Oreochromis niloticus: one gene and its partners. The protein of the gene in region 1 binds, or shares a complex with, the protein of each later gene. Links are inferred from orthologs where the notes say so. Each region holds a gene or a part of one and is shown in the gene's direction. Other genes may lie near its edges. The genes, in order: thoc3, thoc6, thoc2 and thoc7.

The links.
Region 2: thoc3 (region 1) and thoc6 share a complex: the UniProt entries of both Homo sapiens proteins name them as parts of the transcription/export (TREX) complex. The link is inferred for Oreochromis niloticus from reciprocal best matches to the Homo sapiens genes THOC3 and THOC6.
Region 3: the proteins of thoc3 (region 1) and thoc2 are in contact, whole or in part, in a cryo-EM structure (PDB 7ZNL), measured with the Homo sapiens proteins. The link is inferred for Oreochromis niloticus from reciprocal best matches to the Homo sapiens genes THOC3 and THOC2. Residues at the interface, in NP_115737.1 of Homo sapiens: Asp193, Met196, Ile208, Val217, Gln218, Asn221, Ala222, Pro224, Ser225, Ala244, Asp245, Ala246, Leu247, Ser249, Trp251, Asp252, Asp254, Glu255, Leu256, Val257, Cys258, Val259, Cys261, Ser263, Leu265, Asp266, Pro268; in NP_001075019.1 of Homo sapiens: Tyr395, Arg396, Pro401, Lys402, Gly403, Ala404, Lys405, Gly406, Ser407, Pro446, Ile447, Ala450, Arg454, Cys500, Asn501, Ala502, Cys503, Met504, Glu506, Pro563, Arg566, Gln567, Lys570, His573, Tyr603, Leu604, Thr605.
Region 4: thoc3 (region 1) and thoc7 share a complex: the UniProt entries of both Homo sapiens proteins name them as parts of the transcription/export (TREX) complex. The link is inferred for Oreochromis niloticus from reciprocal best matches to the Homo sapiens genes THOC3 and THOC7.

The regions. Positions count from the first base shown.
Region 1 is NC_031966.2:7,006,870-7,013,998, reverse strand, and holds the start of thoc3 (THO complex subunit 3), read left to right. Parts: upstream 1-4,112; 5' UTR 4,113-4,146; coding exon 4,147-4,326; intron 4,327-4,943; coding exon 4,944-5,100; intron 5,101-6,418; coding exon 6,419-6,623; intron 6,624-7,129. UniProt on the Homo sapiens protein: Component of the THO subcomplex of the TREX complex which is thought to couple mRNA transcription, processing and nuclear export, and which specifically associates with spliced mRNA and not with unspliced pre-mRNA.
Region 2 is NC_031969.2:34,256,382-34,263,970, reverse strand, and holds the start of thoc6 (THO complex subunit 6 homolog), read left to right. Parts: upstream 1-4,572; 5' UTR 4,573-4,716; coding exon 4,717-4,731; intron 4,732-5,280; coding exon 5,281-5,372; intron 5,373-5,459; coding exon 5,460-5,524; intron 5,525-6,250; coding exon 6,251-6,354; intron 6,355-6,434; coding exon 6,435-6,472; intron 6,473-6,563; coding exon 6,564-6,612; intron 6,613-7,022; coding exon 7,023-7,094; intron 7,095-7,399; coding exon 7,400-7,502; intron 7,503-7,589. UniProt on the Homo sapiens protein: Component of the THO subcomplex of the TREX complex which is thought to couple mRNA transcription, processing and nuclear export, and which specifically associates with spliced mRNA and not with unspliced pre-mRNA.
Region 3 is NC_031975.2:10,792,677-10,800,650, forward strand, and holds the start of thoc2 (THO complex subunit 2), read left to right. Parts: upstream 1-4,963; 5' UTR 4,964-5,053; coding exon 5,054-5,118; intron 5,119-7,629; coding exon 7,630-7,685; intron 7,686-7,974. Other genes in the region: stag2a (cohesin subunit SA-2a), read left to right, coding at 1-29, 112-240, 333-541, 1,000-1,240, 1,363-1,473, 1,578-1,704, 2,068-2,145, 2,494-2,517. UniProt on the Homo sapiens protein: Component of the THO subcomplex of the TREX complex which is thought to couple mRNA transcription, processing and nuclear export, and which specifically associates with spliced mRNA and not with unspliced pre-mRNA.
Region 4 is NC_031970.2:28,885,055-28,893,025, reverse strand, and holds thoc7 (THO complex subunit 7 homolog), read left to right. Parts: upstream 1-4,960; 5' UTR 4,961-5,089; coding exon 5,090-5,108; intron 5,109-5,348; coding exon 5,349-5,469; intron 5,470-5,578; coding exon 5,579-5,706; intron 5,707-5,812; coding exon 5,813-5,899; intron 5,900-7,152; coding exon 7,153-7,210; intron 7,211-7,333; coding exon 7,334-7,400; intron 7,401-7,504; coding exon 7,505-7,574; intron 7,575-7,666; coding exon 7,667-7,728; 3' UTR 7,729-7,831; downstream 7,832-7,971. UniProt on the Homo sapiens protein: Component of the THO subcomplex of the TREX complex which is thought to couple mRNA transcription, processing and nuclear export, and which specifically associates with spliced mRNA and not with unspliced pre-mRNA.

The DNA.
Region 1 (7,129 bases):
GCCCCATCTGACCCAGCAGGGCCCAGGCTTAGCCCGGAGAGACGGGGGTCGGGCCCGGGGCCGGTCGTAGCCCGGAGGAAGAGCTCGGACACGGGCAGGGAGAGGAGGTCCTGCAGCTCTCTGTCTGAGAAAGAAACAGCCGAGTCTCCAGTCAGCAATGGCTGCATCAACAGGTGGAGCAACACTCGTCACAAGCATGCCCTCCATCCCGTCCTTATACTTTCTAATCCAGGTGGAGACACCATCAGTATCCCTGGAAGTGCAGCAGCAGCTTTCCAAAGATGGAGGGAATTCCAGTTTAATAGAGAAATAAATCTTCTCTTGTTATTTCCTTTATGCTTTAATGTATCTAATCTAAAAACCTTTGCATGTGTAACACAAACACAGAGAAGAATATTAGAAGTCATGCGGTCAAGAAGGAGGCTATGTAGTTAGCTGCAGTTTTAGAGTCCAGGTTCCAGCACAAGGTTGATGCTGACCTGGTCTCCACAATTTACAGCGATTGCTGCGCCTCGGCTGTTCTGGGTCTCTGACGTGTCGCTCGCTGTCTCTGCTCCACAGTGTCGAGGAGGATCAAATCAAGTCAAACGGAGTCGACCATGCAGTGCCCGGTGATGATGCAGACGCCGCCCTCTCTGCCGGCTCAATCAACGGCAGCGCAGACGCAGAGTGCTAGGATGGACTCTGAGTATCTTCGGTTTGTGTGTTAATTGACATAAGAGTGATGAGATCAGATGATTTGCAGAGTGTTTGCCTTTTGTTTACTGTGTCAGATCAAAAATGGAAACGTTGACTTTGTTGTACTTTTGTATTTATGTTTTTTTGGATTTACACTAACCGACTAACAACTCGCTCGGATGAAGATGCACAGGTAACAGAGCAGTAAGAGCTAATGCACTGGTGACTTTTTAAAAAAAGCAGGGCTCAGATAAGTGGAGGTGATCAGCCATTGTAGAAACTCCAGCTGCTGTATCTGCTGCTCCATACGTACCGCATGAGGCTAACGCGCTCACATTCAATAAAACTGACACTCGGATTTTTGTAGCTGTTTCTAAAAACACCAAAAAGTCTCAAAGGAGCCAAAAGAACAGCTGTTGGCTTTTCTACAACGGCTTTTATCGGCCGCTCGCTTCTCTGATGATTTTTGAACATAAACCTGTGGATCCAGGAGGAAGGATGGGCTGCACTGTACGAGGGAAGCTGCAGTATTTTTGCACAGATCCTCAGTTTTCTTCAGACACTTTGACTTGTATAAAGACTGCAAAGCTTTAGGTTGATTTTTTTCTATTTGATGCACAAAGATTCTGCTCAGCGTCACTTTGTGTCATCAGCAGGAATGCGCTGTACTGTTATAGAACCCAGTTCTCTGGCTTCTCCTGCCTTGCCTCCACCTCCTGTCATTTTTCTCCTGGTCAAGATAGAACTGTGCAGCTGGCATCCTCAGCGGCGTGAGCATAAATGGTTTTTCTCTGTTTATGACCTGCAGTTGCAAATAGAGGAGAAACACTCTTCTTCTGCTGCTTTCAAACAAACAAAACACTTTGTCATGGGTTGCTTTTGAGGCATGCACCACAGATTCTGCTGTGTTCTCCGGCAAACCAAGCAATACCAAATGTACCAACAGGCGGATGATTGCAGTTTTTTGGTAATGTGGGGATGTTAAAGTCAAAGCTTCTTTTCAGACGTGATCTAGTCAATGATGAAAGCTGTGGATGTTTCAGAAAGTTCCAGATGAAGTAAATGAACAGTTTAGTTTTGTCGTGCTGCTTTCAGCTGACTGCAGCTCCACCTGTCCAGGCGTTTACCTGAGTATGAGCTCGGGCTGATGAAAACACCTGGGAATCATTTTTATAGACAGGGTTTAAAAAAAATCAAACGCTTCCTGCCTTCACACAACTTTCAGTCCAGGTTTCAGCATGTCGTCATAAGTCATGCAAGGTGAGTAGGAGGGAAACACAGAAGTGACATGTGACTGATATTTCAGGTTTAGAGGAACACGACACAAGCTTTTTAACCATACGTGTCACAGAAATGTTCTCAGGGTCCATGGGTCAGACCTTCATCAAACCCACTTTAGGGGCCTCAGTGAGAAAACGATGAGGAAAGACGGAGACCGTTTTTTTTTTCTGGTTAAATGAGCTAAGAATAGAAGTGCTTTGGAGGACTTAGGGTGCTTGTGTACTTTTTCTACCTCTCCATACACCTGCATCTAAACCTCAACGTCCTGAGTTTTAGTCTGTATCGTGAAAACTCATGAGATCGTGTCATAGTCCACCAGAGACAAGATGTCTTCCTCCACTGAATCTGCACCGAGTCCAGAGACCTGTGTGCACGTGTCCTGAAACACCGTCCTCGTTCCTCACCACAACAGTTGACTTTTATTTTGTAGGGCTTGCTGTCTTTACATAGTTTTCCTGGCACGTGACGCAACATTAAAACAATTTTTTACAAGTATGCAAAAACGTAAAGCACATTTATGTGACGCTTTCACTGCTTGTCATCTTTTCTTAAAACACAGAATCACATTTAAAAAGTGCATTTTGTTCCGTCCATTCGGTGTGTTTTACTCTAGTGCAAAAGGACCACACACTCAACATCAGAAGCTGCCTCAGGCCTGAATATTATGCATATTGAGGCCTTGCACAGGCCTCCGGACGGCAGGGGAGTCCACCTGCAGATGGTGCAGGTTTTGGGTCCTCGCATCGATTGCTTAGTTGGTAACCAAGTGGCTTCTTAACCGAGGGATATGCCGTATTTGACAGAAATGGGGTGACTAGATATTGTGTGTGTTTGAGATATAAATGGAGTGTTGGTTTTTTTTAAACATCACTTGAAATAAATTGGAATTCAAATAAAACGAGAAGTTTCTGTCTTTATTTCAACAATGAATTTGGAAACCTGCAGTGGTTACATCATTGAAAGATATGATGAATGTGTGCAGAGTCAAAGATCACATGTGTGGTAATATGAACATATAGCATTACTTTGAGTGACAACATTACTGCCACTGAATCTTAAAGTCATAGACCAACATGTGAAATATGTCACAGAAGATGTGGTAAAGTTCAAAGGGCATACAAATCTCTCCCTGCACAATCAGTGGATGGATTTATTTTTGTACTCAAACCCATCACGCTGTTGGTGTTCAGGTAGGCCTATGTGCAAAGAACTGCTGTATTTTCTTTAGAAGATGGGAGATAGTAAAGCATTTTTTCTGCATAATTTACAAAAGGAAGGAAGAAAATAAAAGCTAAATATTTCTCCATAATTTACCTAAAAGCAGATCGTGCCACTTCTTTCCAGTTCTTCCACAAATAGTCACAAAAAAACTTTCATGTATAGCTTAACCCACTTTAAACTGTATGATAAAACTATCAGCTGTAGCACATTAAATGCACATAGGCTGCAAACCAGACAGCTATTAAACATTCAGTGTGTTGTGCATAGGTTATGTCATGTTATGCATTCCACATTATTAATAATGATAGAAACAATACAATGAAGCTGAAGTAATTTTTCTTTTCTGGGATTTAAACTGAAGATCACTGACTGAGCTCTGAACTATTTCATGTTTTACTGCCATACAGAAACGAGGATCTGACAGTTTGTAAATTATGGATGATGCTCATTCTAAATTTATTAAATAGCCCATTTCCCCAAAGCTCAAAGAAACCTGTTTAAATTAATTCATAAGGTTTATGCATCTGAAGTTGAAGCCTGGCTTCACGTTTTTTTCACGTTGTTTTTAGTTATTAGAAAATGCATATCAATTCAAATAAATGACGTCACAGTTTGAGATTGCTTATATATTCTTTTAAATGGATAACTTTAACTTTTCTCTTTCCAATTTGACTGATTAATCATTCTTATGAGCAATATCCTGCAGTAATAAGGCCTTTTCATTTGGTATTTAGAACGATTTAAATATTTTATTCCTTGTATTAAAAAATACAGATAAGATAGCTTCACAGACACTTTGTTTCCACTGTTGTTTTCTGAATGTATTTATGTTACAGGAGAATATTTTATAAAGGTAACCGTCTGAGAAAAGTAAACAAGTGTCGGTCCCCTCCGAACCACCAGATGGCGCGCAGGCGCCCTTAAACCCACCTACAGTCGGCCGCTGTTGTTACGTAGGAATCCAAGATGGCGTCGCAGTATTTCCAAGAGATGCAGGAGAGCTTTAAAAATAACAGCAAAAGCCGCGAATTTCCCGCTCATACGGCTAAAGTTCACTCGGTGGCGTGGAGCTGTGATGGCAGGAGGCTGGCCTCCGGGTCCTTTGATAAAACAGCGAGCGTCTTCGTGCTGGAAAAGGACCGTTTGGTGAGTCACATAGCGGCATGTTGCTAGAATGCTAGCGTTAGCCTGGTTAGCTCGCTACCGTGAATGAATGAAAGTTTGACGTTAGAGAGCCGACTGTCACAAAGAACACGGTCCCCCTGGATAATCTCTATCACTCAATAACTGCCACTAACTGAACAGCCTTGTAGTTATTGAGGAATTTACGTCATTAAGCAGAAACCTATAAGCTCCGTCTGCAGCCCAGCAGACAGATGAGTCTGTGCTGACACATAACTGCCTGCTCCAAAGCAATACTAACTAAGTTTTTTATTCATTTTAATTATGTATATATTCACTGATTAGTATTGTTATCACTGAAATGTCCAAATTTATAAACTTTCATATTTATGTAAAGAGACATGATCAAATCAGAAAGTTAAACAAAGTCACCGCCCTCAAGTTTAAATTAAAACGTTCACATATACATGCATAACTGGATGCTTTTTTTTTTTCTTTCCACAAAGTGTGACGTGTAAGATAATCTGAGTCAGATTTCTAAGAGAAAACTTTACAGGTGATCGTCTCGCTGGGCTGCTTGTGGATGTGCTCTGTAAAGTGGCACATGATGGATGCCTGATACAGGTGATGTTTTTCTGCAGGTGAAAGAGAATAACTACAGAGGTCACAGTGACAGCGTTGATCAGCTCTGCTGGCATCCCACCAACCCGGATCTGTTCGTCACAGCGTCCGGAGACAAAACCATCCGCATCTGGGATGTACGCACCACAAAATGCATCGCTACCGTCAACACGAAGGGTAGGTCATAAAGACTGAGGTCATAAAGACTCCTAAATCAGCTTACTGCAAAACTTAAGAATTCATTTAAATGTGATTCTGAAACCCAAGACTGCCACAGTTTCAGACATCATTCATTTATGCTGCTCCCAAAAATTTATAGTAGAAAGAATAAGCAGCAAAGGCATATAGATCAAATTATTGATGATGAATTCATGAGTCCGTACCTGCTGATTCATTTTTCCCGGGTGGTTTCTCCTGGGAAGCTTCTGTAATTTGAACATCCCTCGAATCTCATTAAAAATAATTGTCTTTAGAGCAGGGCGATATGACCAAAAATATTTATCACGATATACATTTGAAAATTTGCGATAACGATATAACTGACGATATAATTGAGACTAGACAAAATACTTTACAACTCCACAACTTTATTAGTGCAAAAAACCCCATCAATGTATTTTCACTTAAACAAGCAGCTGTTTTTTATGTGCATTAAAGTTATATAAAAATGTAACAGTGCAAATTCCTTGCTGACAGTTTAACCAAAAGGCATTTCCAGTGGAAATTGGCTGACATATCCTCAGCATAACCATGTAGAATATCCACAAAAGAGGTTATACACACACAATACGGTAATATTATGTTGAAGCACAGTACGTATCACTCCGCGAGGCTCCTGCCTACGATAGCCGTAATGCTCCGACAATCCATCAAGTGGTGTGGCTTCGTAGCTTAGCAAAGTCATACTAAAACATCTGACAGATTTTCGAGCGCCGTGTACATAAAATCATTTCGAGGTCAGTAAACACAACCAGAATTCATACATAAGGCGCACGGGATTATAAGGGGCACTGCCGATTTTCAGAAAAATCAAAGGATTGATTTTAAGTGTGCCGATATTTTATTTTCCTATCGTTGCCCAAAATTACACCGGTATTACCGTGAACGGTATGATATGGCCCAGCCCTAATTGTCATACAAACTTCTGTAAGGCTTGTTTGTCTGATGTTATCCTCTAAACACACAGCTCGCATTAATGCTGAATGAGCTAGCTGCGCTCTTAGCTGCAGTGCTGCTTACTGTGACTAGATGGTGAAGAGACTCTTTAAAAGACACTGACATAAACCATTGTGAGTTATAGACTTGAGTAAAGCGGGAAAGATGTTTAGTGAGTCGAGAAAGATACGATAGTCTCACCGTCTGAGGAAAGTCTGCTGGGATGATAGTGGGCACTTTTGTATCGGTCATTCGAAATGACCCCCCCCCTACAGGAGTCATGACCCTTCTTTAAACCTTGCTCATCACTGTGTGATCAAAACTGAATCTTTGCCTAAAGGTGAGAACATCAACATCTGCTGGAGCCCAGACGGTCAAACCATCGCCGTGGGGAACAAAGATGACGTGGTGACTTTCATCGATGCCAAGACACACCGCTCCAAGGCAGAGGAGCAGTTCAAGTTTGAGGTGAATGAGATCTCGTGGAACAACGACAACGACATGTTCTTCCTCACCAACGGAAACGGCTGCATCAATATTCTGAGGTACGGAGCAGATTTCTGCTCACGTTCATTCCTGACATGCATATTCACGAAAAGCTGAGCGTCATGTTCTCCGTCACTTCTCACACACCAACACCAGCCAGCTGCTGAGTGAAAGTGTACAGCTAAAGGTTAGGGAGTTTGATTTTTCTTTTTTCAAATCAAGGACAGAAAACGTCTACGAGCTGATCCCAGAGCTTTTGGGAATGGTCTCCACTTCATGGTGGTTTGGCTTTAAAATGTGTTTTTGCATTATTAGAAAAACAGAGGAAGTTTTCTATCTGCTCCTAATTCTTTCTTTGAAAATGAACACGCAAACACTGCAAGTCAATAATAAGTAAAGGTCTGAAGGTATTTTACATTGACTCGCGTTTCTCTTCACCTGTGCACGAACCACGTGGACTCCTCTGAAGCACCTGGTGTCAAAATCGTGTCAGAGTATTCTGATTATCTCCGTCATATATAAATGACGATCTGCGCTCATGAAATAAACGGTGGGTTTGTTCGCA
Region 2 (7,589 bases), on another chromosome or scaffold:
AAATCCCCTTAATTACTGATGTGAGTCAGCTGTGTAAAAGAGAAAGGCAATCCTCAGCTGGTCCATTCATCAGTCAGCTGACTGTCAGAAAAAACAAACTTATACCAAAATAAAAGAAGATAAAGTAATCCCAAAAATCCCATCAAGTAATACTTCACAATAAAAGTCTAATCAGATCTAATCGACATGATTCAGCTGCACTGGTGAGATGGTGGCAAATACCAAAATGTTTTAAACTGAAACAACATTTTATCGGCACTTTTTCCCTTTTTTGTACAAAATTTCCCACATTATGAAGATTGAACACTGTTTATCTCCCTTTTGTTGTCTTATATTTATTATTTTTCAAAATATCACAATGTCTCCCAGCCACACGGGGACCACAAGCCAGTGTAGTCCTGGTTCAGATAAACTAGGAGGGTTTTATCAGGAAGTCCATCTGATGTCAGAGCAAACATGCACATCGTAAAGATGAGATGGTCAGGTTAACGAGCACCTGTGGTAAGGTGAAGATAGAGACGGAAAGATGGAAGGAGCTCTGTGTGGAGCTGATGAATGAAGCAAGAGAGCAGGATGGAGGAAGTGAGGTCAGCCGAGGTTATCACAGCTAACTGAAGCCAAGTGTGAAAAATCATTTTAATCAACTCAAGTAAAAATTGAATTATTTTGTAAACTTGCAAAACAAAATAAAACAAAATAAAACAATAATAGAGAAGAAATGTGTTTGTAAGTTTGGTAAAAAAAAAAAATTAAAAAAATCCTGTTTTATTTTAATACCTGCACTGACTCATGCCAATAATAATACTTAGAAAGACCAAAACTAAGAAAAACTTGAATTGAATTGAATAAGAATAAGAACAACTTTATTTATCCCGAGGGAAATTCTTTTGTCATGTACATGCTCAAAGCAGCAGGAGAGACCGAGGCACAGATGAAATAGATATAAGATATACAATATATATACAATAAGAATAGTGTACAGTAATATACAGTAGGATAGTGCAAGACAAATAATCGGATAACTCTAACAAAGTAATATACATAACTATATCCTGGTGAATAAATAACTAAACTATCAGTGCAGGCGATTCTAGAAAGTGACAAAGTATTGTGCAATAGAATGAAGGGAGTAGCAGCGTATGATGGGGGGATGAAAACAAATATTCAATAAGTACTCTTGGGTAATATTGCACGGTCTGGGAGGGAACAGAATAACATAGGTAATAGTCTCAGGAGAATCACCTACAGAGTGAGGAAGAGTTAAACAGTCTTATTGCCACCGGTACAAAGGATTTCCTGTGGCGGTCAGTTCTGCATTTCGGGGCAATGAGTCTTTTGCCGCGTTTGCTCCGATGGTCCATCATGGGGGCGTGCATGGGGTGGGAGGGGTTGTCCATGATAGAAAGAAGCTTTTTTAGCATTCTCCTCTCAGACACCTCCTCCAGGTTCTCAAGTCTGACACCCAGGACAGAACCGGCCTTTCTAATCGGTTTGTTCAGCCTGTTGGCATCAGCTGTCTTCACCCCACTTCCCCAGCACACAGCTGCAAAGAACACAACGCTCTCCAACACCGAGTGATAGAACATGGTCAGGATTTTCCTACCAACATTGAAGGACCTGAGCCGCCTCAGTAGGAAAAGCCGACTCTGCCCTTTTTTGTAGATAGCATTGGTGTTCTTGGTCCAGTCCAGTTTACAGTCCAAGTGTACCCCCAGGTACCGGTAGTCCTCAACGATCTCCACGTCAGCCCCTCTGATGGTGACAGGGGTAGGAGGAGGAGCCTGCTTCCTAAAGTCCATAATCAGTTCCTTTGTCTTTGTGATATTAAGTTGTAGGTGGTTTAGCTCACACCACTCGACAAAGCTGTCCACCACACTCCTGTACTCCTCCTCCTGTCCATCCCTGATACAGCCCACAATGGCAGAGTCATCTGAGAATTTCTGCAGATGGCATGACTGAGACTTGTACCTGAAGTCAGATGTGTAGAGGGTGAAAAGGAAGGGTGATAGGACCGTCCCCTGTGGCGCCCCTGTGCTGCTCAGGATGTTATCTGAGCGGCAGCTCTTCAGTCGGACATGCTGTGGTCGACTTGTTAAATAGTCCGTAATCCAACCTACCAGTGGGGCGTCCACCTGCATTTCCGTGAGCTTATTCCCCAGCAGTGATGGTCTGATCGTGTTAAAAGCACTGGAGAAGTCAAAGAACATGACCCTCACAGTGCTCCCAACAATGTCCAGATGAGAATAAGCCTGGTCCAGCAGGTAGATGATGGCATCCTCCACACCGATACGAGGTTGATAAGCAAACTGCAGGGGGTCCAGCCAAGGCTCCACCAGCAGCCGCAGATGTTTTAGGACGAGTCTCTCCAGCGTCTTCATGACATGTGAGGTCAGAGCCACTGAAAGCCTTTATTGTCATTATACATAGTATAATGAGATTAGAAACAGTGCTATAAAAGTGCACAAGTGCTTTAGCACATTATAAAAACTATACAATAATTTAACTATACACTTAATATAAATATAAATACACAGTACAGTACTAGATGACAGAGACAGACAGGCAGAGAATTGATGATATTTCAGTGCAGATCACTTTTGTGCAAGTTTGAGTTGAGTATGCTGATGGCTGCCCCTGAGTCTGTTTGTCCTGGCCTGAATGGATCTGAAGCGCCTGCCAGACGGCAGTAGGTTGAAAAGATGGTAGCCGGATGGGTAGTGTCCTTTGAGATGTTTCTGGCCCTGCTGAGACAACAGGAGTTGTAGACAGCAGACAAGGAGGGCAGGGGGCAGCTGATGATTTTTTGTGCTGTGAACCGAACTGAACCGACACAAGAAAATGTGCTCTGGAAACTAAAGTGAATTAAAAACTCAAAATGAAATAAAAATACAAAATCATTTGAGAGTATAAAACTATGATAACTCTGAGAGCAGCTAAGACGAGGGTGGAGAGTGGAAAGAGACTGGTCCGGATGAGATCCATCGTTCTGCCATGAACTCCAGTGAATATGTCTGTGTGCAGCTGTGCGTCTCCTGGAAGGATTTCCACAGGTTCAGGAGTGTTTATGGGAAGTGTTGATCGTTCTTCCAGAAGCACATGTGTGAGGTCACAGTGATGTTGGAGGAGAAGGCCTGGCTCACAGCCTCCGCTCTGATTGGTCCCAAAGGTGTTGGATCAGGCTGAGGTCAGGACTCTGTGCAGCCCAGTCTGGTTCTCCCACACCAAACCGGCTCGTCCATGTCTTTATGGACTTTTCTTCGTGCACTGGTGTGCAGTCATGTGGGAACAGGAAGGAGCCATCCCCACACTGTTCCCACATACTGGGAACATGAAGGTGTCCACAGTGTCTCGGTCTGCTGAAGCACGAAGACTGCTGAAGAACACCCCACACCATAACCCCCCTCCACCAAACTTTACACAGCGCAGTCAGACAAGTACCGTTGTCCTGGCAACCGCCAAACCCAGACTCGTCCATCAGATCGCCAGATGGAGAAGCATGATTGGTCAGTCCGGGGAACACGCCGCCATTGTTCTAGAGTCCAGTAGTGGCGTGGTTTACACCACTGCATTCAGATGTTAAGCTCATCTGAAGGCCACATGACGTTTGGAGGTCTGTAGTGACTGACTCTGCAGAGAGTCAGCGACCCCTGTGCACTCTGCGCCTCGCATCCTCGCACCACGGTTGACCACTTCATGGCTGAGCTGTTGGTGTTCCCAGTTGTTTCCACTTTGTTATAATTCCACTAACAGCTGACTGTGGAATGTTAAGTTGTGAGGAAATTCCACAGCTGGACCTGTTGCACAGGTGGCATCCTATGATAGCGCCACGATGGAGTTCCCTGAGCTCCTGAGAGCGAGCCATGCTTTCACACATTCTTTCTGCATGCCTAGCTGCTGACTTTAAACACCTGTGGTCATGGAGGTGACTGGGACACCTGAATTCAATGATTTGGCGAGTGAATACTTTTGGCAGTACAGTGTACCTGTGCAGGTGTGGAGACGTCTAGGAGAGAGGATGACACTGGTGAGCCACACCACCAACATGTGCAACAGAGATGTTGAAGCTAGGTGATGATTGTCGAGCAGCAGTGTGGCTTCATGCTGAGGAAGAGCTGTGATGTTAGTGCTGATGGAGAATTTTAGATGAGAAGGAGCTTCTGTGTGTTTGTGGATCAGAGGAAGCAGATGATTGACGGTACTGCACGAGGAACCATGAAGAAGTATGTGAGGGTGGTGCAGCACACGTATGAGGACAGCGGTGAGGTGGTTGAAGGTGGAGGTGAGAGTAGATCAGGGATCTGCTCTGACCCGCTGCTTGTTTGCAATGCTGATCGACGGGATGGCTGATGAGACCAGGCAGGCGTCTCTGTGATCTGCAGGAGGGAGGAGGGAGGCTGAGACGGTCTGTACGTGTGCAGAGGAGGGAGAACGATGATGATGAAGCTGATGACAGGAAGAGAAGAGGAAGAGCTCAGTGAAGGTTCGTGGATGCAGTGAAGGAGGATGTGCAGAGGAGGACAAGCCGCTGAGGAGAAGAGGCTTGTCGCTTCTAAAATACATCTCCCAGAATCCTCGGGGCTAGTGTTGGTGACGTCACATTCCTTCGCCCTGGTCCGCTCTTTCCCTCCTCTGTTTGAGTTTTGGTTCCTTTGCTTCTGTTTCGGTGTTTTGTGCCGTGTTCGCCTTAAAGGAGCTCGGAGAGTTTGTGTGAGCAGCATGGGTCCCGTGGAGGTGAGGCTTACAACGTTTATCTCAGCGGAAACAGGAAATAGAGAAACCGGCTGATGTTTGAGAGTAAAGCGAGCTTCGTGCTGAACGATAGAAAAATCAACAAAGAAGTGAACGAGCTCAGATTAGTTTCAGGTTTTCTCTGTTTTACCGGAAAACGGACTCAAAACGAACTCCGTTTAAAATTCCACTGAACTTAAATTCGAGTCTTTAACTAAAATTTAAGAATTTAAATTTAAGAATTTAAATTTTAGTCGCTTTTTAAAAAGTTGAGGTGAATGTGATGTGCGATAGATTTACTGACCGGAAGTGATCAGTATTAGTAACAACCTTTGCTGCGAGTCATCTGTTTATAGATACATGCACGTTTATTCACAAACTGCTTATTTAAAGCTGATTGGAATGTTTACACTCAGGCGAATAAAGGTGACGTCACATGACTGCATGTCCTGCACCACGTGGTAACTTTAAGTTACCCAGATGTCCCTGCACAGGTGTGGTTGTTCACCTGTGTTGTGGTGCTTGGACTAACGCACCTGTCTGTGTCTGCAGCTGCTGCACATGTCCGTGTTCTCTCAGAGTTTCTCTCCCTGCGGTCGCTTCCTGGCAGCTGGAAACAACTACGGCGAGATCGCAGTGTTCAGGTGAGTCAAACGCACCTGGTTCGACTCGCCTGCGCTCACTCGCACTGAAGGGCCACACCTCTCATTTCTCAATGCTGTTTTTTCCAGTTTGTCTGCAGCTCTGAGTCCAGACTCCACCGCGCTCAACCAGAAACCCGTTCTGACCTTCACAGGTGAGTGTTCGGGTCAAAGGTCACCCTAAACCCACGAAGCCTCTGCAGGATGGCGAGGACATCACAGGCGTACCTGTTGGTGTTTACACCTGCACTCGAACAGTGGCAGAAAAAACAACAACGTGATTAGAACCGAGGAAGTCTGAGCTCACTCACATGAAACACACTCACCTTTCCAGCCTTTTGTTTCTGTGATAGAACCAAACATTTATCTGTTTCCTGCACATGAGCGCTAAACATCCTGTCACACTGGACGCTCCTGTGAGGCGCTGAAGCGTCGTTCAGTCCTTTTGGTGACAAACATCTGCGTCATGCTGAAGACACTAGAAATAAAGAATCAGTGAAAACGTGAAGGTTCCAGCTGATTTTAAACCAAAACTCAGGATTAAGCCTGCGTCTGACCAGGTGAGGGCTTCAGCATCAGTTACCATGGTGATTTAGACAGGTAGAAAGAGAAACCTCTGAGTCTAAGCTCGACGCAGCTCACCAACAGTAAAAATATGACACACTGTAAAAAATAATGCTGTAGTTCCTGTTTACACCACCAGGTGGAGTTCCAGGTGTGTTTGTGAGTCAATATTTTTGAGGCTCATTTTATTGTGATTTTTATTGCAGCTTTGTGGGGAGTTATGGTTTCATTGGGACTTTAGTGGCCGTTCATTGTGTCCGTGTTGATTTTGGACACACTGTCCTCACAGATTCCTTTTTGGTCTTGTTGTCCTGCAGCTCATGAGGGGCCGGTCTTTTCCCTTCTGTCCACTGACTGCCACCTGCTGAGCGCGGGAAATGGAGAGATCAGCGCCTGGAGCTGGAGCGAGCTCACCAAGAAGGTAACCTAGAACGCCTTCAGGGACACACAGACGGAGAGGAAAAACGAGTTTGCCTGATTTTTGTGTTTCTGCTTCCTCAGAACGTCAAACCTCTGTGGACCCGAAGACCGAACTACAAGTGAGAACCAGCCTTCCACCCCTGCCTCCTGTCTGCTTCCCGTCTGCCTCCTGTCTCCTTCCTCACTCAAACATCTGCTGTCTCCTTACAGATCCAGCCTGGAGATCCCAGAGATCAACTCCATGACCATCAACTCCAGAGTGAGTACACCTCCACCTCTCTCCTCTGCTTTTCTTCATCGCATTAAAGCTGGCCCACCTTTACGAACAGAAAAGACTGGAACCTGAAATAAAACACAAACCTGTGACAGTATGAAGAGTATCCTCCTCATCGTCATCGTCAGAGCCGCTGGTTTACTAAACCCCTTTGTTTGTTTTTGTATTTTTTATTGAAGTCCTTTTATTATTCTGACTTTTTAAACACTTCTTTTTACTCTTTACTCTTTTTTAAGTTTGAATGTTATTTAATTTGGTGTTTTTAGAAGGGATGGAGCATGCACTGGGGGGCTAGTTCCATTTTTGGGCCTTTTTTCTGATGATAATGAGGATATTTGTGTTTCTGTCGGACGTGTCGCTCCAATGTGTCATAAGGAGTTGTGTTTCTGTGTCAGGATAACAGCCTGGTGGTTGGAGGAGGCGATAACAACATCCATGTCATGGACCTGGAAAACGGTGTGTTCAAGGTGAGTGGGGAACAAAACTGACTCCACGTTTCATGTTATAACCGCTGAGGTATTTTTCTCCTTACAGCATGTCACTGTCATCCGTGTGTGTGTGTGAATGATGACTTCTGCTGTTAACGTGTGAGTTTGTGGGGACCGATTCACTGCTGGAGCCTCTGCTGGACGTCAGAGGAACTGCAGTTTTTTTACTTGGACGTCCGTGTGTGCACTGAACTGTTTCACACCTGTTCAATCTGATTTTCATGGCAGCATCTGTTGGGGGAGTTCTGTGTTTCCATGGTGACGGGTTTGTGTTGTGTCTTCAGACCGTCCTTCAGGGTCACTCGGACTACGTCCACTGCGTGACTGTAAGAGAGAGGGAGGCGGAGATCCTGTCGGGGGGAGAGGACGGAGCAGTGAGGGTGTGGGGTGAGTTCACAGGAAACATGGGACTGTGAGGAGGATGGTGAGGATGAGGATGGTGATGGTGAGGATGATGGTGATGGTGATGTGATG
Region 3 (7,974 bases), on another chromosome or scaffold:
ACAAGAGAGGCTATTGCCATGTTACATAAGTAAGTCATTTCCCTAACCCAAACATCATTTGCTCTAATGAACAGGAACTTTCATATGTCATGTCTTGTTTGTTTATTTTAGAGACGGGATTGAGTTTGCCTTTAAAGAGCCAAGTCCCCAAGGAGAAGGAAGTCCACCGCTTAATTTAGCATTTTTGGATATCCTGAGTGAGTTCTCTAGCAAACTAATTCGACAGGACAAGAGGACAGTGTAAGTTTGCAGCATGATGAGTAATGTGAGCATGAAAATGATGAGAACTTCTAAAAAGACTCTAATGTTTACTGTCATTTCACTTTTTGCAGTCACATGTACTTGGAGCGATTCATGACATTTCAGATGGCCCTGCAGAGAGAAGACTGCTGGCTGCCTCTCATCTCATACAGAAATTCCCTGCAGGCTGGAGCAGACGATGACACTATGTCTGTAATTAGTGGGATCAGCAGTCGAGGGTCCACCGTCAGGAGTAAGAAATCCAAGCCAGCCACTGCCAGCAAAAGAAAATTGCCTGAAGGTGAGCATTTCTGGTGTTCTTTGGTGAACCATTTATTTCATCTACCACAACAACTGATCTGCAGCATGAGTTCATCTACATCAAAACAGCTGCTGGTTAGTAGAGTTGCATTTAAGGTGACAACATTTTCTTTGGATTCCATGACTGACACAGCAGTTTGTTTGCTGTATTTCTTAAAGTCTCCCTGAGATTGAAGTAAGGTTTTTCTGTGAGCGAATACGCCGTCGTGAATTTGAATACGGTGCAGTATTCACCTTCAAACGTCACTCGTAAACATAAAAATGCGTCTCTCTCTTAGGGACATGTATTTCTCCTAGGATCCTCTTGCAAAATGTTTCATGTTAATTCTCATCACAGCCTGCCACTTTAATAATAAATCAAACAGCTCACTCATTGTTATGGCCACTGCGTGTGTTCAGTAAAATTCAAGGAGTGTAACAAATGATTTTCTCTGGCAGAAGAGAACAGCAGTAGCAGCAGCGATGCGGTTTGGATGAACCGTGAGCAGAATGTGCAAACGCCAGTGATGATGCATTCACCCCATCTAACTTCCACTGTACTGAGGGATCCAAAGAAAATGAGGCCAGAGGACAGCTTCACAGCCACGTTCACCATGCCAGCAGAGCAGCATCCCCATCAGCCTGTGCCCCCTCAGCAGCAGCAGCCACACCCTCAACACCAGACTACCATTGATTACAAGTAAAAAATATATGTATTACATTATTGCATACATGTCCGCAGAGGTTTTAGTTGCAGTACAGTATGTAAAGCCACTTTTTTAAAACTGTGGGAATTATGAAGTAATGAACCCTGTTCCACAGTACCCAGGTTACTTGGATGCTGACACAAAGGCAACAAGCTGAAGCCCGTCAGCAGCAAGAGCGGGTTAGCATGCACTACGCCAAGATGAGGAACCACATGCAGCAAGCAATGTAAGAAGTTCAACACTTAACTGTTTTTGGCCGAACTTTGAGCCAATAAAGAGTCTGACAAAAAGCAGTCTACTGACGTGTTATGTTTTTGTTACTCGTCACAGTCGTCGAGGCTCTGGGCTCATGGAGGATGATGAGGAGCCAATAGTGGAGGATGTGATGATGTCATCTGAAGACCGCTTGGAAGATATCAATGAGGGCATGGATTTTGACACAATGGACATCGATTTGGTAATTAAAAAAAACCAAAAACAATAGTCTAAATTTGTCTAGATGCATGTTTAATCATTCCAGTAAGGAAATCCTAGGAAGTTGATTCAGCTGATTTGGATGTGGCATTTTCAGCAGGAGATGAGTAATGAAACATTTCTCCCACTGAAAATGCAGCATCCAGATGAACTGAACCAAATTTCCGAGATAATCTGAATCATGTGTTAGCAGAGTAAGCATCCTTCAGTAGTCTGGTCATGCCAGTCCTTCCAATAAATAAATAATAAAAACAAATGTTGATGTTAAAATTTATAATTTTTTTAACTGTATATTTTTTTTTTTCATCTTGTGGAGTATTCTTCTAACTGAGCTGTTACCTTTCAGCCGGCATCAAAGAATCGCAGAGAAAGAACCGAACTGAAGCCAGATTACTTTGATCCATCTTCCATCATGGATGATTCGGTAGGAGTATTTCACTCCTTATAATAACTTTTTCACTGTGTTTTGGATGGCACTGGTTACAGTCCTTGAGATAAGTTCATGTTCTTGAAACGATTTTTCTTAACTGTTTGAGTGAATGCCCAAGTAAGCATGATAGATCAACGTACAGTTCACACATGCCTAGCCTTATTTGGTAGGAGTCCATTTTCTTGTTATTTATGACCATTTGATTAAAGAAACCCAAAGGATGAACCGCTTTAGGTGTAAAAACAGCCACATATTTCTCATCTGTTCATCCTGTACACTTAATATATGCTTGTTTTTATTTGGTTCTGAATTTTTAACACTGCTTTTTTCTTTTGCCTTTAGGTTCTCAATGTTTCAATGTTTTAATATGAAAAGGACAGCATGTCATCGAAATCCTGGGACGGTGAAATGACTCTTTATAAATGAGAGTGGACTGGACTAAGTAGGCTTGTGAGACACCAATGTTTGCCTCTTTAACACTTTGTTAAAACTTAGGAGTGCTTGAGCTTGGATTTGAATTTTATTCTGCTATTTTCACACACCGGATTTTGGTCACACTGCGGCAGAGATGTTTCAGTTTTTGTTCAGTTGCCCTAAAAAAACTTGATGCCAGCTATCACTTGGCTACACTTGTTATAATGTGTGAAGCGTTACAGGTACGGATATTGTGTGGCAGTTTGCATGGTGATGGGACAATAACAGGCCAAAATTCAATTGAATGATGTATACCTTTAAACTCTTTAAGTAGACGAAAAATGTCTGTAAATACATAGCGGCCAATATACAGGGAGGGTGAACACAATTTCATGAACACCAGAAAATATAATAGGCTTGCAGAATAACACTACTGTTTTGATGCTTGTAGTGTTCAGTTATTGTTGAACACTATAATGACCCTGCACTTTGTTACAGAGGTGGTAATTGAGCTGGATGGTTATTTTTAAGCTTTGCATCGAGAAACTATCTTAGGTGTAAACGAACCCCCTCTCTGATGCAATCTGAACATACACTGAACATATAATGTTTCATAATGGCAGCAGTTATTAAATGGCTACTGCGTTATATTGGAAGGGTGTCAGTGGTATTGTTGTTCACCTTCTGAACTTTTAAACTGTAGATTCTGGCATGGCATGTAGCCATATATCGAAACATGTACACAGTAAAGTATAATGTGAACTGGCGTGTCATACTGTTTAAAGGCCTTGCCACAAGTTATATATATACAGCATTCTCAGATTTCTTTGTGATGGTATTTTTTAGAGACATGTGTTCTGCTTTTATACCTTCTAGATAACTTTGATTTATAGATATTTTGTAATGACAATCAAATGTAAATTAATGGTTTCTATTAATCATGTTATTTCACATAGAGATTAAAATGATCCTTTTTAAAGGAAATGATTATGTTACTATAGATGTGGCCAGCTGTATTTTCTTTTCGTCTCTCTGTAGCGAACGGGTACAAACGTACCTCATTGCTCAGATGTAGTAATTTGACAAATTGAGGCTGCATCTAAAATTATTTTTTAATGTTGGAAGAAATCACAATGTTGTAAAATTTTGACTCGACCTCAAATATGTAATCTCTCCTATATATTAACTATTTTTTTCCACTGTATAGTATCTAGTAATATCTAATATTAGAGACATGCCATGATTGCAATCTTTAAAAGAAAGGATTTTTAAAATGGTTGAGAACGATGTGTGTTTGTTTGGTTTTGTTTTGTTTTTCCTATTTGCAGGTGTTCAGAAATAGTTTTTCAAACTGCCAGTTTGGTTGGTTTGCCACTGCTGCGTGTATAAGAGTTATAGAAATATTCTAAATTACAAAGCTTCTAAATTCTTTAGCCAACAATCATAGTATCAGAATTGTATATTATACAGTTACAAATGTGTAATATATTGTGAATCGGTGCTCATTTTATATTTACTGTTTCTTTTTGTGTGAAATTTTGGGGAATTGTCAAAGGAAAAGAATGTAAGTCTTTGACATTAATCTACTAATTTGTAAGTGCACACACAGTGCATTGTTTTTTTCTTTGTTTTACCGTGGATTGTTCCGGTATTTCCTCTGTGTATTGGCCTGGCTGGCAGAATCAGACTTTATGGAAGAAGGTGTAATCATATTGTAGCTGAAAATGAATACCTTATTTCCTCAGAGTGTCACTATAATCTGGAGAATCAAATCATCTGGTCTTAAACATTACCACATACATAATAACTATTCATGTTAGGCAAATGAGAAAAACACCTCTTAGACTTGCCTGTAAATTTACATGACTCATGTCATTTTGGAGCTTTTCTGTTTTGCATCAAACTGCTGAAAATGTGCAAACATCTGTACGTTTATACATATTTAAATATTTGCATATATTAAATTTGTGTTTATATTCTATTTACAAAGTGCCCATTGCATCCTTTACTGTTTGTATTTATGTCTGGAGATGTAACATGAACAGAATAAACCCTCTACAACTGTGTGATGATTTAATAACACAGCAATAAATATGATTTGATATGGTATTAGAACACCTGTACTGTAACTATAACTGGCTTTTACTGATGAAACATGAGTGCACCGGAGGATTATGGAAATCGCAGCTGTCCTGTAGTTTGTTATGTTTAGGTAGTTCTTAGAGAAAATGTTACCGGTAGATTTAAATTGGGTTGTTCAAGTGTCACGGGATTTTATTTAACTAAAAAAGTTAAATAGTACAACGTGGAGAATCAAACTTATTCCCAGACTACACGACCATCACCACCACTCCGTGTGAAAACCTCGGACGCACAGCTGTCGATGTCCCACAATGCAACAGTGATCTAGCAGCGGCGGCTAACCACCACATTTGACCCTGTGTGTGCCATGATGATAAACTAGACATCCGGGCTGTGTGCATGGAAGATGGCGACACTTACCCTTCCTGGTGAATGGATCAAAAACTGGGAAAAATCAGGAAAACATGAGTTGTGAGTGCATCTGAATTTCAACGCAGTGTTGAATTTTGCATTTGTTTACCCGTTGTTTGCGAATAAAAAGTATCAAGAATGACGTAGCTAGCATTCAAATATAAGGCCGGTCTTTAGGTGTGTTAGCTTTAGCTAAGCAGCTAAAAGATAAAGTGGCTTACAAGTGTCACTTACTTAAAAAACAATACGTGTAATTTAGTTGCTGAGTATTGAATATAGTTAATTTGGTAGACTTGTGAAAAGAAGACTTCAATGGCTTTGAACGTCACCGTGGAAGCTAATGCTGTCTGCTAGCAGTCAGGCTAGCTTTACGCTCCCATTTGATTCGCCGTCAATGTGTAAACACTATGGCTGTTAACGCTAAGCGAGCTAGCATACACATAGCATACTCTTCTGTTGGTTCGATATCGCACTATCCAGTAAACTGGCGTAAATGTACTTCCAAAGTTCAAGGAATTAGCAGCCATCAACTTCGAGCAGACAACCGAGAATCAGCTGGCGAGAAAACCCCTTGGGCAGCCTGTTATAAACCTTAACACTAAATAATCGTGTGGAGGGAAAACAACGGACATTGACAAAACGCTTTAGCAGATTAGCCGTAACGTTAGCTACACTAATTGTTGTGTTGAATTCCTTTTCGTATGCTTTAATGTTTAGGCGGGGAAGCCTGGAAGAATAAAGATGACGCTTTTTGATTCAGTGTAACAAAACGTATCATTTGACGATATATTTTTTTAGGAGATGAAGATTTTAATCATAATGTTAACCTAGCTACAGCTAACGTCATACTTTTCTTAGCTGGCGTTAATTTCACCTAGATAATGGTGTAAGATAGCCGCTGTACGGTTTGCATAGAGACTGTGGACATAGCCAAGGTTATTCATCGATGCACATCTGTGCGCTTGGTGCTGTATAAAGGCATCTCGATTACCAGAGTCAACTTTATCACTAACATTACATGTCAAACTTAATAATTTAAGCAGTACTGTAAAAGCCTCTCCCAACACCTTGATGTACGGCGACTGTTATCTTAAAATTAGTTTCTTTAGAACAAAAAATACAAGAAAAACGTTGCGTGAATGATAATTTCACGCATTAATTTTGTGCGCTGCCATCGCCTTTGAGCTGAGACACAATAGGCTCATCCACAGTACTAGCTACGATTATGTGCTGTAGGCCTTACATATTTAAGAAAGGCCTGCAGTGGGATGCACCAACTCAAACTCTCGTTCCACTATCTTGTGTCAATAACTGATAGCACTTTAACTGGAAATTATGCCAAACAGTTGCAACTACGGGGTAACCATTAAAGTATTTCCATCAAGGCAAATTACCCGTTATACCAAAGCTGAGTACATTGCAGTGGAAGTGTTATTTGGCAGCACAGTGAGATGCCATCCTCTGTGATGACAGGCAGTAAATGAAAAGGTGGATTTCGTGTTGATACTAAAAGTATCACATTGTTATTACTTAACCAATATTTTTGACCTTATAATTCATTGATATAAAACATTGTGGACCTCTGGATCTACATCTTTTTTTTTTTTTAATATCATTTAGTCATACCAGTTGAGTTGCAATTAACCAGTCCCAGAGGCCAGGGTTTAGTTTAAAGTGGTGAAAATGTTGTCAGCCTCATTATACAAATAGCAGCTTTGCTTCGTTTGACCTTAGAGGCTCCGGCAATCCAAGGTGTCCGCTTGCTGTAACTCTGACTTTTTGTAGCATTTGCACTTCTTGTTCACAGTGTGTTTAGCACCTGACAAGCTGTTATCTCTAACAATTAAGCTGATGGACTGCGTTGAGTTTCTTACAGAGGAAAGGAGCTAGTGTGCTCCAGTGTGTGTAATTATACCTTTTAATGAATGGGATGTGCATGGCAGAACGTGCTCGATTAGTCTGCCTTTGTCATCACTACTTCTGATATTTTAATACCAGTCAAGCTGTCAACTGGGTGAACCGTAAGTCTTTCAATCCACCAGCTAAGCTATTGGACTAGTCACAGTCAGTTTAAGAGGGAGAAACATGGCACTCAGTAAATACTAACTATAAATCTGTGTGAGTGTTTGGCAACAGAAAAGGTAAGGGTTGTCCCGCCCAAAGATTCAGTCAGTAATCAATCCAGCAAACATAAGAGCCAGTGCTATTGTTATATGCACACACAGCAGTTTCAGCATAAATACTCGTGTAGTGACAATGTAGGTAATATAATATTTCTTGAGTTACTACATTGATAATTAGGATAAACCTAAAGCTTTATCCGGTGTAATGTTAAGACTGGATTAAGGCGTAAATAATGCAATAGTGTTATGTGATCTAAAAATATAACTTGGAGGAAGTGAACGGGATATTACAAGAATAATGTTATGTAGAAATTGTTGGCACGGAACAAATGGATTTAAATAAGTTTTCATGCATCCTGGTTCGTTCATTGAGCTTTATAAGGCTTTTCATCATCATGTTTTTGTACTCTAGTTTAATTTAAAAAAGAATTCTCTCTTTACTTCATAGTGTACAACTCTGCAAAGACCTTACAGAGAAAGCAGATCATGGAAGTGAAATTAAAGGTGAGTTGAGTGTGACCCTCGTTCCTTTAATAATATTCTTGTATGCATCTGTCACTGTATTTTAGCTTGCTCTTCATGCACACACGTCCATTTTGGGAATTCTCATAGTTTCCAAAAAGAATGCAAAAGGTTTAAAATTATTTACCAAAAATAGATTTAAAAAATAAAATCCATGAATTTCAGAAGTGCTGTCTAATTTTTGAAACACGGTACTATTCATGTTTAACAATGGCTGTAAGGTAGAAGGGAATTAAGCAGCCCATGTGGAGATTTCTGTTTGGTGTGTGCT
Region 4 (7,971 bases), on another chromosome or scaffold:
CCACACACCTGCCAATCAAAGTGACCATGCATTATGAAAGAGGCTTACCTGTCTATGAGGCATAAACTGTTTATTTGTACCAGGCTATAAAGATGTCTTACCGTCATTTACTTGCACATTTTAACATAACAGCCTGTAAAGATTGACTTGCTTTTGGGGCCAGTCTCAAATGGCCAGTTATTTATCTAGCACTTCCATGTTGGATTCATTTTCTAGCCCAAAATTTGCCACTTGGTCAAACACAGCAGGAGCGTGTAATCATCTCAGATGATTTAATCCAGTGATTCTAATCAAAATCTATTGTGAGTTCAAAGAACAGAACAAAGCAGATTAGCGGACGCTGGATCAGCCTGCTGATGTTGAATCTTTTAAGCAACATACAGAGAACAGATGCTGTAAAAATGAAGACCTCTGTAACACTAAGCAGTCCAACATAGAAGTCTTGAAATTACACAATTTGTGTAATTTCCTTGATACTTACCGAGGGGCAGCTGCACTGCTCGTCTTTTTTTAAATTCAAACAATTCATACACATATAGTAGTAAAAAAAAAAAAAAATCTTAAAACCCAATACAACAAGTAGTATAAAGCATATCCTCAGATGCAACTCAGTGATGCTGTAGTCTCATTAAGCAACACTTCCTTGATACTGAATACTTTACAATAGAAACTGTATTCAGTGTTGGGCCGTTGTGATGGAAGTACTACATGGCTAGGTATGATTATTCTGCAGCTGAGGAAACGTAAAAAAACCACCACATGTCAATAGAGTTTTGAAATGAACAGCAGCAAGATCTTACCTTGGCAAAACAAGAAACAAGGAATTTATCTTTAAACTCAATCAGATGATCCACATCAGTTTGGGTGATTCCTGGCTGGCACACACACACTGGATAGGAAATCTGGAGACATACACAGACATGCATTGAGGGAAGATGTAACTATACCACACCTTTTCCTTTCTAAAGTTAGTAGGTGGAATTTTTGAATTATGTGTAAAAAACACTTTCATTCCTGCCCCCTTAGTGATCAACTTAGTCAACATAAAGCAACACATACATCTACAGGAATCCATTTTAAAGACATGTAGACATTTTTATTGTTTTTGTTGTCTTCATACATTTAAGGCATATTGCTGTTTATTCAGTAGTGTACTGTACCATATGGATTCCACCAACTTTACATTTGTTAATCGAATGTTGTTTTGCTTGTTTTGATGCAGCCCTTTAAAACTTACAACCTAAATACTGTCAGAACTAAACCACACTTCTTAAGTTTAAGTTATCTAATGTCAAAGATTTGTTATAATGAGGACAGAATCAAAATAAATTCACTGCAGGGAGACCTGAATTCCAGGATTTACTGGTGCTACAGGTTTAAAAAAAATTGTGTACTGCTAATATACACAACAACTTTTAGCAAAAGCAGAAAGAAAAATAAGAATCTTACTGCTGCAAAAGTGGCAGTCCAAAACTATTTTCACACATCAAGTCTGGAAAATGTTCAGAGAGTCAGGTCGGGAGACTGTCCAGTGTTTTCTCTTCTCACATCTAGCTCACAGCAGAAGATTATTAATTGTTAATAGTTAGTGTGGTTTAGGTGAACAAGCTGCCTGGCTGGAAGGTTGAGGACACAGGACACAGTCACTCAGTGTAAATTCACCACAGTACTATCTGCGCTATTCTCACATTCGACAACACGTAATACATATAGACTATCTATCTACATGTATAGACATCTAAAAGTCAATACTTTCCTGTTAACTTTCAATAAGTTAGAGTGGGAAACAATTACAGAGTATTATGTAAACGCTGGCATATGGGTGGACTGTGGAACATGCTATTTAACCTTTCGACAGCAACAAAAATTCTGACTTGTGACAATGCAGAAGGGAAAAGTTTCAGCAGAACTAAAATATTAGTATTACATTTGATTCTGTATCCATGTGCTGTCAAACAATACTAACAGACAATTCTCACATCTCTTTTTTATAAATGCCAACACTGATAAAGTGGCAAAGAGCTAGTGCCACCATTATATCCGCTGGCCTCTACAGTGTCACAGTATTAATACGGGCTTATAACATGTTTATCATTATATCCGAAAAATTGCCTAGAATACACTAATATATCATCTGAACATCAGTAATACTGACTTCTGACCAGCATGTAAGATTATGTTTACGATGGCAGCAGCCGATGTCATCTGTTGTGTTATCTGCTTAATTTATTTATTTTATTTTTTTGTTTTTATCTTTCTCAACTGGGTGGCTAAATAACAAAAGCTACATAAAAACATGAAAAATAAAATGACATTCAGACAGAAAAGATATGATCCAATTATCACAATGATTGGAATGGGGAACTGGTTATGCTGGATTTCCACCTTTATATAGATTCACTGAAAAGGCCTATACCGGTTAGGAACAATGTTAATAACATTCTTACGGAATATAAACATACCAGTACCCGTAGCTTAGCCTTAGTTCGGTTGTGGTTTTGACTTTACGAAATGAGTACGTTAAAGGCCATGAGTGGAAGAACATACCATTATGTCATTTCTTTAGAAAAACAGTTGTTGTCATTGGCAGACAGGTGCAACTCTGACACATAGATAAGAGAGAACACAGGAACCAGAATTTGTATTGGCTAGAATTGCTGCCACTTCTACTCGACACTAATTACACTATCGTAGTTATTTTTTTGAATAAAAAAAGACAACATTAACCTTCACCGGAAATACGGTATTTGAAAACAGACCAAATGTCTATTAGCCGTTGTGTCATGACAGTAAGCTTAATCCAGTGTGGGTCTGTGACTGGTACAAACGTTACTAAACAGCACTGATGGCTAACGTTAGCCTGCTAGCTGGCTAACGTTAGCCAGCCATGACTAGCGCCAGCGAGGAAGCTGACAGCAGCCTGACAGCCCAGCAGAAGTCATTAGCCGCGGTCACATATCGACAACAGCTTCACACTTACCAAGGCTCTGGATCCTGTAGACGTAAGTCTGACACCTGGCTGATATATATCAACTGGATGCACAGAGTGAAGGAGACAGAAGACGGTGGAAAAGAGCGAGTTTAGTGCTCAGCCTCTGTGGAGGTCTTCACTTGGTGCTTCCATGTCTGTTTACCAGACTGCATTCTGGGACAGAGAAAAACGTCACCGCGCCACGACGCAAGCGCGAACTGACCAATGACTGCATGGCACCGCCGAACTTCTCCACCAGGAGATTTTATTTATTTATTTATTTAAATTTATTTATTTATTATTTTATTTTATTCCCCTGTTAAATACAGTATTTACAACTGCATGAAGCCTGGGAGATATGTGATAAGGGAAAACATGATAATTAACATCTGCAATTTTAAAAAATTAATAAATAAAAAAATACTACAACATGTTCACCAAACATGTGTTTAATTCGATTTAGACGATTTAAATCGATTACCTAATAATTACGGGCAAAAACAGAGATAACTATTATATGGGAATGAAAGAATCCTGAACTAAAATCTATGAGAGAAGCAATGGTGGTGGAAGTGTAACTGCTTGTGGGGGGAAAAAAAAGTTTTAAAACCTAGTTTTGATGCAAAGTCAGCACACTCTTAAAGGAGTTTTTTATTACAAGGTTTGATTGATGATTCTATTTGCAGTTTTCATATCAGCGAATGCTTCAAACTGCCTGCCCAAATAAGAGTCCCTAAGAATTTGAACATGGTTGCAGGGTGTCAAAACGTGCAGTGTCCTTAAAAAAAGTAGAGAGAACTGGACAAGAGACATGTTCTGCAGAAACAGGAAAAAATGCAAAGACCTGACACAAGACGAGATATGCCAAATTACACAAGAACTGAATTGAAAAAAGCAGTGGCATGGATATCCTGGAGTCATGAACCCAAAGTTGACATTTTTGGTTCAAATCATCACTATGTAAGGAGGAGGCCAGGAGAGAGTTAAAACAGCGAGTGCCTACAGCCATCAGTAAAACACATTGGAGAATGTTATGGTTTGGGGCTGCATTTCAGCCTGTGGTGTTAAGAATCTTGTTAAAACTGAGGGAAATATGAATACATAAAAGTACCGTCAAATTTTGATTCACCATGCACCACCATATGGAAAGGGTCTGATTGGCAAACAACTTTTTTTTTCGGTATGACATTGACCCCAAACACACTTTCAGTGCAGTAAAAGTATACCTGGATAGAAAAACACAAAATGGAACACCATCATGTCATAGACTGGCCTCCCCAGAGTCCATACCTCAACATTATTGATGCAGTGTGATATCATTTGGACAGAGAACAGAAAGAAAGGAAGCCAACATCCAAAGAAGAGCTCTGAAGAAGCCTGGAGAACTATTCCTGAGGACTGCTTAAAGAAATTCAGAGGAAACCTTACCTTAGAGAGTTCAGGCTATCTTGAAGAATAAAGGCAATCATACACTGACAGACAAGTCAACTGCAATTGTAAAATTGGAATTGAAGTTATATAAATTCAGTGTTTGCCTTATATACTATATTTCCATGGATGTTTGCACACATTTCAATAAACCACTGAAGCTATTTCCCATTTCTCTAACACAATATAAAGAAATGAGGGGTGGTTTAGTAGTTTCGCACAGTATTGTATGCAAGCCAGTTAAGAAAAATAGCTCACACTTATATCACTTTGCAGAATTTATTACAAAACGGATAAGAAAGCTATACGTCTGTGTGAAAAAAAAATCAGTTTAGTGCGATGGTTCATGACACAAATTCAGACACTCTATAAATGTCATCAGTCATCATGTCATCACCAAAACATGGTTTTAACAATATACTTCCGTGTTTTTCTGCTCTTCCCAAAGTAAAAACACTCATCATATAAAGTTTTATCAAAAAGAAACGCTCTGCATTTTTTTTTTCCAACTAAAGGTTTCACTTGTCTCATAAAATATCCAATGGCAATCTATTTTTGTCCACTCCAGTCCGATTGGTGGCGGTAATTCTTCAAACTAGCTTGCCAACCCAGGACTAAACCACAGAAGAAGAGCAGGAGACTGTCCACTTCCTGCTGTTCAATAAAGTTTTGCAAAGCCGAACCATAAACATGGGGGCTGTTACAGATGGTAAGTAACCGTTCTCTTCATTTATATTAGCTATTCATACCACCTATGAGTAGTAACAATTATCAGAACCTTTAGAAATACCACTATACCCAGTCACATACCCATACCCGTAAAAAACGAACCAGTTTTACATGGAGACGTGGGTTATTTTGGATACAGCTAACATCAAGTAGCCTTGTTAGCCGATGTATTCTCTTTACCTGCTGTACCTGAATGGCTGTTATTTCGCCCGTATTCCAGATGAAGTTATACGGAAACGCCTTCTCATTGACGGTGATGGAGCCGGAGATGACCGCCGAATCAATTTGCTCCTGAAGAGTTTCACGAAATGGTGCAACTCTCCCGGGACCCCGGAGGAAGGGTAAGCGAGCTCTACATACCCTATCAGTGGACTCGGTTGCCACGCATTTCTTTAAAATCGCCAAGAAGAATTTGGTCTGAGTCATAAAAAGTGCTGTAATTCTGTTCAGATTCACACAGTATCAGAGGATGCTGGGCATTCTGGCGCAGTGTGAATTTTCCATGGGGAAGACGTTGATGGTTTACGACATGAATCTTCGGGAAATGGAGAATTATGAGAAAATCTACTCCAACATCGGTAGGACTGGGTTTTGTGAGACTGTCCATTTATCTTCGCAACTGTTTACGAGTCACATTTTGTATTACCTGCTTTTCCAACTCGTTAATTTTTCCCCATACTACAGAACAAAACATTGCATCTGCACATGAGAAGATAGCAGAATGCAAAAAAGAAATTCAGAGGGCAAAGAGGATACGAAAGAATCGCCAAGGTAAGAAAGCTATTCAGTTAGCTGTCCTATTGACAAAAGACTCACGTTTTGTTATGTACTCTTTCTACATGATATATCTCCAGCTGTTGTCAATTCTCACCTGTAAATTCTAAAGATCTTGACATCAGTTAAAGCCTTACACCTATTTACTTGACCCTAACCCCACCAAAATATTCAAATGTGTATTTCACTGTTTCCCTTAAATGTGCTGTAATCACACTGCTACTCAAGAGAAAAAAACCTGGCTCCATTGATCATTAATAATTCTAGCCTTAATTGTAATCTTTCATTCTTCAGCAAAGTATTTGGAAAAAAAAGTTTACAAACAACTGAATGAATACCTTTCAAATCATAGTTTTTATAAGTACCAATCAAGGTTGAGAACCAGGCAACGGCACAGAAACAGCTCTTACTAAAGTCATCAGTGACTCGAGGATCAATAATGATTCCCTGAAAGTTTTTAAGTTTGAGTTTTTCTTGATCTCACTGCTGCTTTCAACACTGTTGAGCATGACATTCTAATTCATAGGCTTCAGGACAAAGTTGGTTTAACAGGTCAGGCTCTTGATTGGCTCTCATCATGGCAAAAGGGTAGAAGTTTTATGTTTCAGTTAGTAGTTTTAGATCTGCACAAATACAAATTCAATCAGAGGTTCCTCAAGAGTCTATCCTTGGTCCATTACTATTTAACTTTTACATGCTCCCACTTGGTGCTGACTTAAAGAACCATAAAGCTTTTTAGAACTGAACAGAGCCTAAACCAAAACACTTTTTGTTGGTCCCAAAAGTCCGGGACAAAAAAATTGTTTTCTATTTACCATCCATTTCTCTGAAACACCGTGAGCAAATCAGGGACCTTGGCATCATCTTGTATGGCGGTTTCAGTTTTGATAACCACATGAGTGAGGTTACCAGAACTTCTTTCTATCACTTAAAAATATATCAAAGGTTAGAAAATTCTTATCTCAAAATGACTCATGTGTTTGATCCATGTGTTCATGTCAAGTTTGTCAGATTATTGCAATCATCAGGATGTCTTTAGATGATTCAAAATGCTGCAGCTACTGTCCTTATTGGTACGTGGAAATTTGACCACTTTACCCCAGTAATGAAGGAACTTCATCGGCTCCCATTACAATATAAAATTACCTTAAAATTCTTCTGTTACTTCACAAAACTCTGTTTTGCCCACCAGTACATTATGCATATTAGATGTAACTTGTCCAACTTCACTCTTTCCTTACTTTTTCCAGAGTATGATGCTCTAGCTAAGGTTATCCAGCAGCACCCAGACCGACATGAAACACTAAAGTAAGTCAGTCCTTGCCTTCTGTTTAGTCAGATTTTTACATTAAATTAAATGCATCCAATTTGTGTGCTTTCAGCTTTTGTGATGATCTGGCTATGAGCTCAGTTTTACTTTGTTCTTTGCAGGCAGCTTGAGGCGCTTGATAAAGAACTCCAACAGCTGTCTCACATTAAGGAGAATGTGGATGCCAAGGTAAAACCAAAATATCTCTTAAACGCTTTAGTTTTAACTTTGAATATTTTTTAGTCAGCAGTAAAAATTCCTGCTTGTTAAAATCTTGCTTTTGTTCCACTCAGTTGGAGTTGCGGAAGAAGCAGTTCCATGTGCTGCTCAGTACCATACAGGAGCTTCAGCAGACCCTTGAGAGTGAGTGCTTTTTAGTCTCAGTAGCTGTTAAAGTGTGCATCTTAGCACATTTGGTGTCACCTCGCCTCGCTGATCAATTTTCTGTTTTCTAGACGATGAGAAATCAGACAATGACGACAACAGTCAGGAGAGCCCTGCAGAGAACGGAGAGTGAATATGTGGAGATCCTGAATTTAAAACAAAACTTGATTTTAATTGATTTTGTTGTCTCTGATACTTTTTTAAAATGTATTTTGAATAAAGCTGACTTGTCCACACCTGCTTTGTTTAATTTATTCACCAAATTTTAGATTCATATTTACATTGTTGATTTATATTTATGTAAAACAGAACTGTTTACTTCAACTTAAATAATAATTTAAAATTTTTGGATTATAACTATTTGTTTTGCTGTTTT